Diceros bicornis minor: one gene and its partner. The protein of the gene in region 1 purifies or fractionates together with the protein of each later gene. This does not show direct contact. Links are inferred from orthologs where the notes say so. Each region holds a gene or a part of one and is shown in the gene's direction. Other genes may lie near its edges.

Evidence for each region.
Region 2: the proteins of HNRNPA3 (region 1) and HNRNPH1 fractionate together in Homo sapiens (co-fractionation; 3 studies listed by BioGRID and IntAct, with this or other methods). This does not show direct contact. The link is inferred for Diceros bicornis minor from reciprocal best matches to the Homo sapiens genes HNRNPA3 and HNRNPH1.

Annotation. Positions count from the first base shown.
Region 1 is NC_080749.1:57,778,129-57,785,619, forward strand, and holds the start of HNRNPA3 (heterogeneous nuclear ribonucleoprotein A3), read left to right. Parts: upstream 1-4,481; 5' UTR 4,482-4,518; coding exon 4,519-4,590; intron 4,591-6,617; coding exon 6,618-6,740; intron 6,741-6,829; coding exon 6,830-6,976; intron 6,977-7,058; coding exon 7,059-7,269; intron 7,270-7,491. UniProt on the Homo sapiens protein: Plays a role in cytoplasmic trafficking of RNA. Binds to the cis-acting response element, A2RE. May be involved in pre-mRNA splicing.
Region 2 is NC_080740.1:92,600,655-92,607,668, reverse strand, and holds the start of HNRNPH1 (heterogeneous nuclear ribonucleoprotein H), read left to right. Parts: upstream 1-4,009; 5' UTR 4,010-4,028; intron 4,029-4,510; 5' UTR 4,511-4,539; coding exon 4,540-4,636; intron 4,637-5,890; coding exon 5,891-6,046; intron 6,047-6,257; coding exon 6,258-6,401; intron 6,402-7,014. UniProt on the Homo sapiens protein: This protein is a component of the heterogeneous nuclear ribonucleoprotein (hnRNP) complexes which provide the substrate for the processing events that pre-mRNAs undergo before becoming functional, translatable mRNAs in the cytoplasm.

The DNA of each region.
Region 1 (7,491 bases):
AATAAATGACTGGTTCGTTAAGTGGAGGTAAAGAGGAAATTTCAGATCAATCTGGATATTTTGATATATTTTTGTAGAAATGACAGAAATGGCTACATATACACATTCATATATACTTAAAGCATTGATTAGACCTAGAAGAAAATGTAAAAAGATATACGCTACATCGTGGCTTAATGTGTAGGTTTGCACCTGGGATCCGAACCCGCAAACCCTGGGCAGCCGAAGTAGAGCGTGCAAACTTAACCACTACATCACCAGGCTGGCCCCTATTACATTGTTGACTGTGGTTAGATCTGTGTAATAGGATTTGAGGGGAGAGATTTCTGTTTTGTTTTGTGTTTTATTTTATATATTCCTTATTTAAAAATCAAGATTTTTAGAAAAATAAAGCTATTGGTGTATTCTGAATTTTCACTGGCAGATAACAAAGTTTATTGTATATTACAATTCTTCCCTTCTAAGAATTACCTTCCTCCTGTCCAAAATATTTTCAATTTCCATTCTCGGGCCGGCCCTGTGGCTTAGCGGGTAAGTGTGCGTGCTCCGCTGCTGGCGGCCTGGGTTCGGATCCCGGGCATGCACCGACACACCACTTCTCCGGCCATGCTGAGGCCACGTCCCACATACAGCAACTAGAAGGATGTGCAACTATGACATACAACTATCTACTGGGGCTTTGGGGAAAAATAAAAGGAGGAGGATTGGCAATGGATGTTAGCTCAGGGCTGATCTTCCTCACAAAAAAAAAAAAGTTTCCGTTCTCTTTCAGTACTAACTGTGCCATAATTTGCTATTAATCTTGGAAAAATCAACTCCTTGATCTGCATAGCAGCTTCCTCATTCATAAAATGAAGTGTACAATCCAGACAGCACTTCCCAACTAGCGGGCTTTGGCACACTGGTGTCCTGAATGTGGGTGAGAAATTGATCCCTCCTGCAATGGAGCAGTTGAGAGGAGTCAGGGGCAGCCAGAGTCTCCTGGGCCAGTACCTCCGGCCATAAGCAGGCTTGTTTAGGGCTCCTCAGGGCAGCCTGTGCAGAGCAGTCTGGGGCTTATGCCAAAGATGCAGCAAGCACAGTGGACAACAACCAGCACTTACAGTTCTCCTGTCTGTGGATGGCCAAGGATGCTTGCCACATGGGCATCTATCTGCAAAGCACTCCACTGCCCACCATGAATCAGAGTCTCTGAAGCCAATGCACAAGTTTGTGATCCAGGTACCCAAGGGGCATAGCACACAGCCCCAGAGGTAGTCTGCTAGGGGTGTGAGAGAGGAGCCTGAGTAGAGCGGGGTTCCTGGTGGGCTCAGCTCCAGGCAATGCCCTTAATATGTGTCTTAACATACAGTGGCTATTTCTATCCCTTTGTGGTGATGCACTCTTTTAATGGCCCCCAGACTAGCTGTTGACAATGCATGCACGTTCTGAAAGCTAGAGTTTCAATGTGGAAATCTTGATATAAAAATGTACTACTGGGTTTGAAATCCATTTGCATTATCATATGAAACTGCAACATTACATTAGTCAATAAAAGGAAGAGTTGTTATTCTTTAAATATAATTACCACTGTAAATTTTGAATAGTTGTATAAAATGGTTTTAAATATTTTATCACCCACTTTTGTGATCAGAGTCCCTCACTGATAATTACTATTCAGAATATGAGTTTGTCATTAAAAAGTCTAGATCAGAAACTGCATAAAGCCATTTAAACCATAAAACCTAATATCAAAATATACTCACAGAAACAAGATCAAGTCGATCATTAAAAATGATGGAAAAATTTTACTTGAAAGTTTTATTCAAATTCAATTTTTTTAAAAGCCATAGCAGTTCCCTTTTTTTTTTTTTTGAGGAAAATTGGCCCTGAGCTAACATCTGTCGCCAATCTTCCTCTTTTTTTTCCTTTCTTCTCCCTAAAGCCCCAGTACATAGTTGTATATCCTAGTTGTAGGTCCTTCTAGTTCTTCTATGTGGGACGCTGCCTCAGCATGGCTTGATGAGTGGTGAGTAGGTCCTCACCCAGGATCCGAACCGGCAAACCCCGGGCCACCAAAGCGGAACACGAGAACTTAACTGCTATGCCACCAGGCCGGCCCCCAAATTCAATTTTTAATATCTTCTCTGGTACGTTGTATTTTATTTTTTTACCAACCATCATTTAGATGCCTCCAAATCTCTTCGTTTTTGTAACCTAGTGTGCTATATAAAACTTATTTTCTGTATGTGTTGTGATATGAAAGAAGTTGAGAGGCGCTGATATAGATTATTTATAAAGTCTGTCTGCCACCCCATCCCACCCTAGGACCCTTGTCCTCTGCTCCCCACCCCATACACTCTCTCTCTCACATTTCAAAGACAGCCAGGGCCACAAGGACAGATAGGAGGCACGGTTCAGCTCTGTCCAATAGGGTAAAGATCTTGAGCAGGGATATTTGTATTAGATACCATGTGGCCCCAGAGCTGGAGGGTAAGCTTAGACAAAAGCATAAAAAATAGCTAATGTCTAAAACCCAGAGGCCGGATGAACAACAAGTCTGGACGAATCCAAAGGGAAGAATCCACATTTTACTGAAGGACAAAATACCTGAATAAATGGACTGACAGACCACCTTCCTGTATGGAAGTACTTAGTATCCCATCCCTCATCATTTCTCCAATACAAGAATTTAATACAATTCAAAGAAGAAAGAATAATAACAGAAGTTATTGATTAGAAACAACTTGGTTAGAAAATACCCAAACATGCCCTAAAGTGAAGCCAAGCGATCAGCCTTTTGGATCAACCTTGCAGTGTCTCATAGGGTACCTTGCTGTGAATACCATCTTCCTAAGGTCTTTAACTTTGTGTTTTTGTACATACCCAGAATTGATCAAGTTATTCATGACTATTTCATAGTAATCAAACTCACAAAGCCTTGATATATTAATGAGACAATAAGAATATAAATTTTCCCATTGTCTCAAGCACTGTTGTTGGCTATGAGGAGTACCTTATAAGCAGAACACATAATAGTTTGCTTGTGATAATGGAATCAGAGCAACAGGAGGCGGCTAGTTTGGAAGATTATCTCATCCAAGTTACATTAAGGCCTGGTGACTGGTTTCTATCCTGGAGCAGAGTACCTTCTGTTTATGTCTCCCAAATAAAACTCCTGTTCCGCTTGGCCAATGCTTGATAAACATCAACAAATTCTTATTCTTTGTGTTTCCTTTTTCCAAACTCCAAGCCAACCATTCCCCATTTATTAACACAAACTGTTTTTCAAACAATTTACACTATAATTGACTAGATTTCTAATCTTCCAAGGGAGGGCCTGATCAATTCTAAAGGAGCTGCTCATATGCATTGCTACATTAAAATACAGGGCATTTCTTAGCAGGATAAGGAAACTTGTCAATTGCGGTCACTTTCACCAGCACTTTTGTTTAAACATGGATCCATTAATTTAAGACTATCATAAGTGTTGGGGATCACCTAATCTCATCCCCATTTTTATTGAAAAAATTAAAACTAAAACTCAGTAAGGGTCAAATGATTTAAAATCACTTGGCTAGGCCGAGAAAGGATTAGAGCTCTAGTTTTTAACTCTTTAATTGAGCTCGTTCATTACACTTCACAACACAATTGGAAAATTAAGGTAAAAATCACTGGCGAACAGATAGCATATGTGGTGATCCTACTTTTGGAAACCTTGTAAACCTTTCCTTAAAATCCGTCGGTGCGAACATTTGCTTCAGCTCTTTCCACACTAACTAGAAAAGTGTTAGAAAATGGTGCCGACAGATTTCTTGAGATCAATGAGTCCCTAACGAACTGACCTCGATCAGTCCTGCCTCAGCTCGTTAAAGGTGAAATTTCAGTATGTCAGCCGCGTTTTAAGGCTTTTCCAAGGTGCCCAAGATTCATATACGGCGGCGTCGCAAGGCTTTTCAGTGCAGGCCCTCACAGTGGGCATCGCAGTCACAAAACTTGGTCCCTGGCATTTGGAAACGTGCGAGAAGACGCCGCGAGAGGGCTTTCTTGTAACCTTAAAGTAGTACAGGAGAAAAGAAGTGTGGTTTTATTCAGACACGAGAATGAAATGAAATCGGAAACGGAGACCCAGGGGCCTACGTGGGGGAGGGGGGAAAAACGCGCGAGAAGAAAGGGAAAGGCTTTTTTCTCCGGTGACGCGCGGTCACGAGGCGCCCTCCCGACGTGGGCGCTCGCCATTGGTTGAGCCCGAGCTGACGTCCCCGCAGCCGCCCGAGCGCGAACCGCGGCAAGGGCGGCGCCGCGCTGGAAGTTGGCGAGGCGCGCGCGCTCCCGCGACCCGCCACGCCCCCGCCCTCCGCCCGCCAACCCGCTCGTCCAGTCCTTCTTCGCGCCCAGTTGGCTACGCCCCCTTTCCAACTCGCCCCTCCCCCACCGGGCCGGCGGCGCGCAGAAAGCGCGTCACGTGACGGCTGGCCCCGCCTCTTCCTCTCGGTCCCATATTGAACTCGAGTTGGAAGAGGCGAGTCCGGTCTCAAAATGGAGGTAAAACCGCCGCCCGGTCGCCCCCAGCCCGACTCCGGCCGTCGCCGCCGCCGCCGGGGGGAGGAGGTATTAGGGGGAGAGCGGGGGGTTGACGGGTAGTGGCCGGCGTGGGGGGCCTGGCTCGGTGGGAGCGGGGAGGCCGGGTGGACCGGGTCGGCCGTCCCGCGCTCTGCGCTGAGACGGGCGGTGGGAGGGGGAGGGGAGCGGGCCTCGGAGGCCTCCTCGGGGCCCCTCGTCCGCCTCGCCTTCTCCTTCGGCTGCACAGGTGGCTCTTCGGAGGCGCGGCGTGGCTGGGGAGCCCTCGGGAGGCGAGCCGGGCCGCCGGCCGCGCGGCCTCGCATCCGGGGCCGAGGGCGGCATGGCGGGCCTCGGCGGGAGCGGTTGGGAGGAGGCGGTGGGGGAGGGGAGGGGACGAGCAGGCACATCCGGGCGAGCAAGCAGGCGGGCGGCGGCCACATTGACATTGATCCGCTGCCGCGTTACGAAATGGCGCATTGGCCCGCAATGGCCGCCGCCTCGCTCCGCCGCCGGGAAAGAGCGCGGCATTGCAAGGAAGAGAGAGGAGGCAGCTCGGCAAAAAATGCCGCAAATGGCCTCGAAGCTCGGGCGTTGTGCTTTCGCTGAAGTTCTGCCGGCGCGTTTCTAGGTCTTACAGACCTCTCTAAGGCAACGAGAATTTAATTCTCTATCCTGTTCTTTTCTTCGCAGCACCCAGTTGGAAATATGAATTTTTTAAAAAGTTTGCTGCTTAAAAATGCTTCCTGATCTGCTATTCTTGCTAAACTACTTAGAATTATACCTATCTTCGCGCCATGTGGGTGAAGTACTCTATCTCAGAACTTGAGTGTAGATGTGAAATAGGAACTTGAAATTTTTTTGATCTCCGTTTTTCTCATTTCTCATGATGGGTCGGCTCTGGTTGTAGTTTCTTGGATTTTTGTTTCAGAGGACTGCAACCACAGTTGAATTTTTCATGTGAGATAATTTTAAGTGGATTATAATTGTTTCTTTTTGTGAACTTTGTATATTGTCATTTAAACGCATTTAACCTAGACGAGAAAATGAGACTAAGTGAATTAATGCTTTAGGCTATTAATCATTTAACGTTTTTTTCTAGCGCGTGACAGCCTCTTCATGTTAAATGACTTAAGTCTACTTTTAGAAGACACAGGAAGACATTAGAATGTAAATGTGAGCTCTTTCATTTAAGGACTTTGGATGAACGATATCTTAATGCATGCATTAAATGGCAGTTTATGTAATTTCTTAAACAGGTAGTTGTAAAAGAATTCAGGCCGCATCTTAATTTTTAAGAAAAATCTCAATTCTGTTCTATTGTGCTCCATTCTGGTCAAGCAGTATATGCTATAAAGTCCACGTTGCCCTTTTTCTACCTTATGAGGTATTATATTTGAAGTTTTGCCATTTGATACCAGTGCAAATAGGTCATTTGCAGCATGTAACCTGTAACGTAAATTGGTTACAGAAAGCTATTAAGATACGTGGTGGATTTTTTCCATAGGTTTTTTTGAGGGTAAATGCTGGTTTAGCCTTTTATTGAGGAATATCTGTCTTAACATTTTGATTTGCCTGAGCCAGTGACTTTCTCTAAATTTGTCACTTAAAATTTTTAAGTTGTACTTCACAGTTTTGTGGTTTAAAATTAAAACTTGTTGGGATGTAGACTGAGGAGGGAAAACATGAAAAGAAATGGCATGGATGAAACACTGCTTTACAACACTTTGGTCATTCTTAGAAAATGGTTTCTCAGTAGCAATTTCTGAAATAATGTATCCCACACTCTTGTAGTTGTAGCTTTAAATTAAGGGGCTTTTGATTCTGGAATTCGGTTGGATTTCAATTTAGTTGAAGTGATGTCATTTGAAAGGCTGGTAATAGATTTTCTTGGTCTTTTGCTTCCTTTAATCAGTTGATGTGTGTGATCTTACTGTAATTTTTAACTGGACAAAGTGTTAATGGTACAGGAATTTGATGTTGAGTTACTATTTGGAGCAGATTAAAGGCTTGCAAATCTTTTTTAGCAATTCACCTAGTAAAAGAAATAATTAAAATGTATTGGTTTGTTTCCTCAGGGCCATGATCCAAAGGAACCAGAGCAGTTGAGAAAACTGTTTATTGGTGGTCTGAGCTTTGAAACTACAGATGATAGTTTAAGAGAACATTTTGAGAAATGGGGCACCCTTACAGATTGTGTGGTAAGTTACTAAAGGAGCAAAAAGAGATTCTTAAAGGGTAGAGGAGCTTTGGAGGTGTGTTTCAGTGTTTTTAAATTTTTATTTTGTAGGTAATGAGAGACCCCCAAACAAAACGTTCCAGGGGCTTTGGTTTTGTGACTTACTCTTGTGTTGAAGAGGTGGATGCAGCAATGTGTGCTCGACCACACAAGGTTGATGGGCGTGTAGTAGAACCAAAGAGAGCTGTTTCTAGAGAGGTATCTTATTAATACCATGTTGTGTAACATGAAATTGTTGTAAAATTTTGGGTTTTTTGACTTAGGAAATTTTTATTTGCAGGATTCTGTAAAGCCTGGTGCCCATCTAACAGTGAAGAAAATTTTTGTGGGTGGTATTAAAGAAGATACAGAAGAATATAATTTGAGAGACTACTTTGAAAAGTATGGCAAGATTGAAACCATAGAAGTTATGGAAGACAGGCAGAGTGGAAAAAAGAGAGGATTTGCTTTTGTAACTTTTGATGATCATGATACAGTTGATAAAATTGTTGGTAAGTAGCAGTTTATTGGAACTTGAATGAGAAAGCAGAAACGACTTCTCGTTCTACACTAGATTTGGTCAAAAGCTTATAATTGTATATCATACATAATAGTATATAATGTGTGGTTCAGTTTTCATAACGTGACTACACCTGTGTAACCAGCATCCGGATCAAGAAATAAACGTTATTAACATCCCAGATCGCTCCCTCATCCCCACTCAAAGTCACTCC
Region 2 (7,014 bases), on another chromosome or scaffold:
GGGGATAATAATAGTACATATCTCCCATTGGGTTATTTAGATGAGATACTGTATGTAACACACTAGGACAGAGTGAACATTTCCTGTCTATTTATGTACATATGTATATATTTACGTGTGTATATATTTCACACACTGTGTGCATGCACACACATACATTCTTTGTGTTTCAAATGTGTTGCAAATTGTCAATTTATTTGTCTTTCAATTCTCTCGCTTTATTCAATACAGAATTTTAAAAATTATTTTTCTGTAGCCAATGTACCAGTCTTTCCCTTTGTGGTTATGTCTTTGATTTCACACTTAGAAATGCCTTCCTCATCTCAAAAATTTATAAACACATACATTTTATTTTAGTACCTTTAGCTTTACATACTTCAAGTTTAAATCTTTTTTTTAATTTTATTTATTTATTTTTTCCCCCAAAGCCCCAGTAGATAGTTGTACATCATAGCTGCACATCTTTCTAGTTGCTGTATGTGGGACCCGGCCTCAGCGTGGCCGGAGAAGCGGTGCGTCGGTGCGCGTCCGGGATTGAACCTGGGCCGCCAGCATCGGAGCGCACGCACTTAACCGCTAAGCCATGGCGCCGGCCCATAAATCTTTCTAATCTATTTAGAGTTTATTTTGATGTATAGTGTGAATACTATTTTTTCCCAAATTTCTAGTCATTGGATTTAACACCATTTTTAGAAAATTCTTTTCATTCTGATGTGACATATCACCTCATTGAATGCTGAATTCCCAAATACACCTTGGACCTGTTTCTAGATTTTGTCCCACTGAGCTGTTTCTTTCTGTGCTGGGGCTACAGTGCTTTAATATAACATTGACAGAGTTTTACATGGTTGATATACCACTTTTTAATTTTGTATTCTGCTTTTTTCCCCACAAACCATTATATCACAAACATTTCTTCACACCATTTAAAAAAAATCTATAAAACATAATTTTAATGGCTGTAATCTGTCATCAAAAAAATTAAAGAAAAAAGTAGACTATAACAGTTTCCATCAAGTCTAAGGTATCATCAATCTTAAGACACACCATTATTTGTGTACCACTAAGAAAAAAATGCTGCCAATTAAACTATGATATGCCATTGGTTTTTAAGACATATTGCTATTTTAGAGAGGTTAAACTGTGAGAAAATGTGTGTTTTAGAATTGATAAAAAAGATAATGAATAAATATGTGCTTTATCTCTGTATAGGGAAGGGTTTTCTGAGCTTAAAGACAGACTCAGAGGAAAGCACCCATGGCTTCATCAAAATTAAAAACTTCTGGGGCCAGGCCTGCTGGCCTAGTGGTTAAGTTCAGCATGCTCCACTTCATTGGCCCAGGTTAGGCTCCTCAGCTCGGACCTACACCATTCATCTATCAGTGGCCATGCTGTGGCGGCAGCTCACATACAAAACAGAGGAAGACTGGCAACTGGGCAAATCTTCCTCAGCAAAACAACAAAAAACTTCTGTATGTCTAAACATAAAAACCAATAACAACAACAACAATTAAAAGGCAAGCAAACAAAAACATTTGGGGCAACTATGGCCAAGGGTTAATAGCTTTAATAAAAACCAAAGATCACTGGAGAAAGAAGTCAAACTGACAGTTTATATAAGAGGGAATTGGCTATAAGTGTATAAAATTTACTTTACCTTGCTAGTAATAAACAGATGCAAATTAGAGATACGAGTCTTCTCAGTATTAAATTAGCAGAGATTAAAGGAAAGGAAATTTTCAGTGTCAGCAAAACAAGGGGATATGGAACACTCACACACCACAGAGAGGGTTGTCAAGTGCCATAACCTTTTTTTATTAGTAGTCCTAAAAATACTCAGACCTCCCATTGAATAATTTTACTTCTAGAAATCTATCCTAAGGATATGATCTAATCTTTCTATGATGATTATACATGACATTTACTCTTATTAAGGAAGAAAATCCGAGAAAACTTTAGAAAAAAATTAGGAAAAATAAACACTTTAGAAATGTGGCCTTGTTGTTACAAAAGGTAAAAATATGATTTTTTATGCACTACCAAGGGGATCAGGGTTTTTCCCTCATATAATCAGAAACTAGTGTTCTTAGGTCATTTAATAAGACCAGAACTCTCAAATGCTGTCACCTATTAAGAAGACACACCAGGAGGTGTCTTGGTGATGTCCTGGAAAGAGAGTATCCAAGAGCAAAAAGTGTTCTCCTTGCTTTTTCTTTCCCTTTTTTTTTTTTTGTGAGGAAGATCAGTCCTGAGCTACCATCTGATGCCAATCCTCCTCTTTTTGCTGAGGAAGATTGGCCCTAGGCTAACACCCGTGCCCATCTTCTTCTACTTTATATGGGATGCCACCACAGCACGGCTTGACAAGCGGTGCGTCATGTGCGCGAGGGATCCGAACCTGCGAACCCCAGGCCGCGGCAGCGGAGCGCGCACACTTAACCGCTGTGCCATGGGGCAGGCCCCTCTCCTTGGTTTTGAATCACCCAGAGACAGACCTCCTGTTTGGAAGACTTGGGAGTCCACATTTTGGTGACATCAGTCAAAAGGCCTTCCATTTCCTCCAGCTCCGTTTGCAGTTGAGGGCAGGCAGCGTCCTTCACCCTGCCTGTTCCATCTGTGTCCCCCTCACTCCCAGCAACTGCGTTTTCCTTTACAAACAGCTCCTCTCGCTCTCTGCTGAAGACCTGCCAATGCCTTCCCGTGCACCGGGAGTTAACACCCTTGCCAAGGCCTAAATGGCATTTCAAGGTCATTTCAAGATCAGGCCTTGCCTAGCTCTGGGATCCTATCTTGGATCACCCTCCCCCTTTATTTCACTGATGTCGTCTCTGTTTTCTCACACCTGTCAAAACCGGATTTGGCCTCCAGACCATTGTGCTTGGGAGGGAACATGCTTTGTCCGCATCTTCCCGTGGTGGCACTCAGAGAGGCCTTCACTAACGTCCAACACTGCCTTATCTTTAATGTGTTTACTGCCTGTGTCCACCGGGCCTGAGGTGGGAAGGACTGGCAGGATCAGAGAAGGGGAGACCTGAGGGGCTGCGGGCATTGTTCCAATTTCCCGCACCTGGAAATCGAGACCATCGCTCGTCTCGTGCAATATGCGCACACGCGGCGACCCTGGGTCACCTCCCAGCGTCTCCACCCGGGAAATGGATGTAACGGTACCTACTTAGTCTTGGGGGAACGAAGCCGGAAAGAGCCGGCGCGCGCCGACGGCTCGCTCGCGCTCCCCCCGCGCGCGGCAGTCGACATCCGGTCCCCGCTCTCTAGGAGCGCCCCGCGGCGTCAGGGCCCACGACCCTGGGGCGGGCGGCGGGGTCGTGGGGGGCGAGTTCCTTAGGGCGAAGGCGGGGTGCGGGACTGAGTCAGAGCACGGGGACCCCGCGCGGGCCGGGCCCAGGCCCGACGGCGGCAGGTAACGGGAAGGTGGAGGCACAGGCCTGCGCGGCCCCGCAGCCCCAAGAGAGGCCCGGTGGTCATCGCCGGGCTCTAGGGAGAAAGGGGGTACAGGTGGCGCGAGGGCGGGGAGCCTGTCCTTTCAGGTCGGCCAAGAGCGCTGATAATAGGCTGCGGGTAGGGGTAGGAAGACGGCCCCCTCGCCACGACCCAGAGCCCGGGACTATCACACTGTCCCCATAGGGAACTGACTGCCGCCATTCCCCTCCCCCACTGTGGCGGGTAGGGCGAGAACCGCTTGAAGGAAGACGCATGCGCATGAAACTAAATGACTGTCTAAACCGCCAAGGCTCGAAGTTCAATAATCGCGACAAGGCGCAGGCGCAAAAAAGCCCGGCGGGTGTAAGGAGGTGGGAGGGGCTGAGCTCAAGACGCATGCGCACAATAACTTGCTGGCTGGAGGTGAGCTTGCTCATGAAATTACGCATGCGCTCTATGTCTGTGTGACGCAAGCGGGCGGTGCGGGCCTCTGGCTGCGCGTGCGCAGAACTTGTTCGAAGGGCCTTATTTAGGTTGCGCAGGCGCTCGCTGGCCATTTCTTCTCAGCCACGCTGAAGTCGTTTGTCTGGGTGAGTGTGTGTCGCTCCGTGTTCGCCCCCCCCCCCCCCGGGGGCCCTCGAGGATGCCGTTTTCGCGAGGAGTGCGTGTCCCTAGACTTCTGTAGAGCCTGGGGGGCCGTGGCGAGGTGCAGGCTGCCCCTGGGAGCCGGGAGCGGCTCGCCGAGCCGCGCAGGGCGGCCGAGGCCTGCAGGCCCCGCCGCCTCTATTGTGTGAGGCGTCGGAGGAGGCGGAGCGGAAGCGGCCGCCGCCATTTCCTCATCTCCACTCTGGCGCCCGGCCGGGGACTCCTCGGTTCGGGGCGCCGGCGCTTGGTGCCCACAGCGGCCTCGGGGGCCCGGTCGCCGGCCGCGGGGTGTTGGGGGGCAGAGTCGCCGGGGTTGGGGCGTGCGCACGGGCTCGGCTCTTCTTGAGGCGCCGGGGCAGCGGGCGCCACTGGGGCGGAGGGCAGTTGGTTTGAGCGCTTCCCGGGCTGACCTCGTCCCGCCCCGCAGTCTGTCGACGCCAGCACCCGCCGGAGACGATGATGTTGGGCACCGAGGGCGGAGAGGGCTTCGTGGTGAAGGTGCGGGGCTTGCCCTGGTCTTGCTCGGCCGACGAAGTGCAGCGGTTCTTCTCTGGTGAGTTTGGAGCGGAGGCGGGAGTTGGCGGCCGGGGCAGCGGGCGGCCGGCGTCCTGGCGGGGCGGACGGGGCGCCCCCTGGCGGGGCGGGCGACCGCTGATCCCGCCGGCCGCCGTTACGCAATGGAAATTGTGAAAGCCCCCCCGCCCTCGGGAGAGCGTGGCCTCTCCGGCGGGCTGTTTTGTTTCCCTACTCTCGAGCACTAGTCCTCCTGTAAATGTGTTTTCCAAAGGATAGATGGGATTTCCTCCTCAATCTTGAGAGAATTGCCCAGTAGCTGCGCGCGTAATAGTGATGTTTTGCAAAGTCTTAAAAGATAGAACGTATACTTTCTAGTTTTCAAAGTATGTTGTCGAAAAGGGGCATTCTGCTTCGGAAAGTTAAAATGTCACTTCTTAATTTCAGACAATTTTCCTAATCAAGATTTAGTAATTGAAGAGTTCTTGCTCATCTAGTTCTTGATCTGGCTCACTTTACATTTGAGGACACGGAAGCCCAGGGAAGTTTGCCTATCTAGTTTTTTCTAGTATCCTGAATAATTTTTACCAAAACGTCCTTGTTCTCATTAGTGTAAGATTAGACTGATAAAGATATTTGGAAGATGGAAGAAATTTCCGGGTTTTGGAAGGACACTTGTAGTATTGACTTACTGTCTGAATTTAGCGTGGGTTACGGAAAACGACCTGTAAAACGAGAACCAAGTACACTGGAAGCCGCCTTGCAGTGGGCAGGACTGGGTCTGGCTTCAGCTGTGCAACTTGGAGCATTTTAGCTTGGTAACATTGATCCCTTTTCAGGTGAGTATTGGCAGTGCGATTTGGATTAGAAAGAAACTATCATGTTGCTAGTAAGGTAAAACGGTCAAATGCCGCAGACGAAAAGTTGCAACTAAGTATATTCAGGAAATGCCACAAAATAACCAAGTCCAGACAATTTGCTGACCAGTTAAAAATGTTGAATGGGAGACACTTGGGTAGTGAGGACTTAGAGATAACTTCATTAGAAACTGCTTTAAATATTGGATTTTTTTGATGGATTGGGAATATATCATCTAGGAAATAAAAGTTTGATGGAGAGAGGATAACTGCTTAATTACTGGACAGAGACATCCTAGAAGTTGGTAATAATTTGGTCATTTTAGGCTTCACAGATGATCTACTTTGTAGTAGGGGCATGAGGAGGCAGTTCATCTGTATCACCCAGAGGTGGTTTTAAGTTTTAAATTCTGTATTAACGGTTGTTTTCTTTCCAGACTGCAAAATTCAAAATGGGGCTCAAGGTATTCGTTTCATCTACACCAGAGAAGGCAGACCGAGTGGCGAGGCTTTTGTTGAACTTGAATCAGAAGATGAAGTCAAATTGGCCCTGAAAAAAGACAGAGAAACTATGGGACACAGATATGTTGAAGGTTTGATTTACGTTGCCCTAGTAACAGTAAATAAAACATTAAACACAGAGAGATCTATCTTACCCCTTCTGAATTTTAGGTATTTGACCGCATGGAAATGGTCATCTAAGGGAGTTTATGGCAGCTCTTCCTAGATTATCTAAAGACCCAGGAAATCTGAACTTTGTTCTCTAACTTTCCAAAATTGACTAATTCTAAGCACCTCTTTCAGTATTCAAGTCAAACAACGTTGAAATGGATTGGGTGTTGAAGCATACTGGTCCAAATAGTCCTGACACGGCCAATGATGGCTTTGTACGGCTTAGAGGACTCCCCTTTGGATGTAGCAAGGAAGAAATTGTTCAGTTCTTCTCAGGTATGTAGTCGTGTTTGTTGCTGAGCAGCGAATTCTGGCTAGCTTCTGGCAACGTGTGATTTAATAGACCTTAAAGTTTAGCAGCTCAGATATTAAAACAGGTTGTGAGTATATGCAGGTGAATTAATGTTTTTTCTTCCTGGAGACCTTCAAATAATTTAAGCCCATCTTAAAGGTGGAAATTAAGTACTTCCAAAATGCTAACTTTGCCTGTATTTAGTATTATAGTGCAGAGTAGATCTTTGAGGATTGTCCTCAACAGCTTAACTCCTTTCCTCACAATGCTGTTCAGCAAAGTACTTCAAGTTAAAGGTAAGATCCCTTCACATTAGATTAGCATGAGTTAGATTGTGATTTCTCCCAAGTGTCTATGTCGTAAGACACATTGGGTCATGGGACTAGAATTGTCTCTGATGCAAAAAAAACTATTTATGGAAGCAACTAGTTTAGTTAGCCAGGGAATTATAAACTTAACTAAAAGTCAGTCTAATGTAAGAGTAGGTGGAATGTAGTCTCAGTATCTGAAATACAGAAAGTGTTTTGAAATTGTTCTGGGCCTAAAGTATTTGAATGTTTTTATGCTGAAGAACTGATAAAATTGCATGTTTAGCAG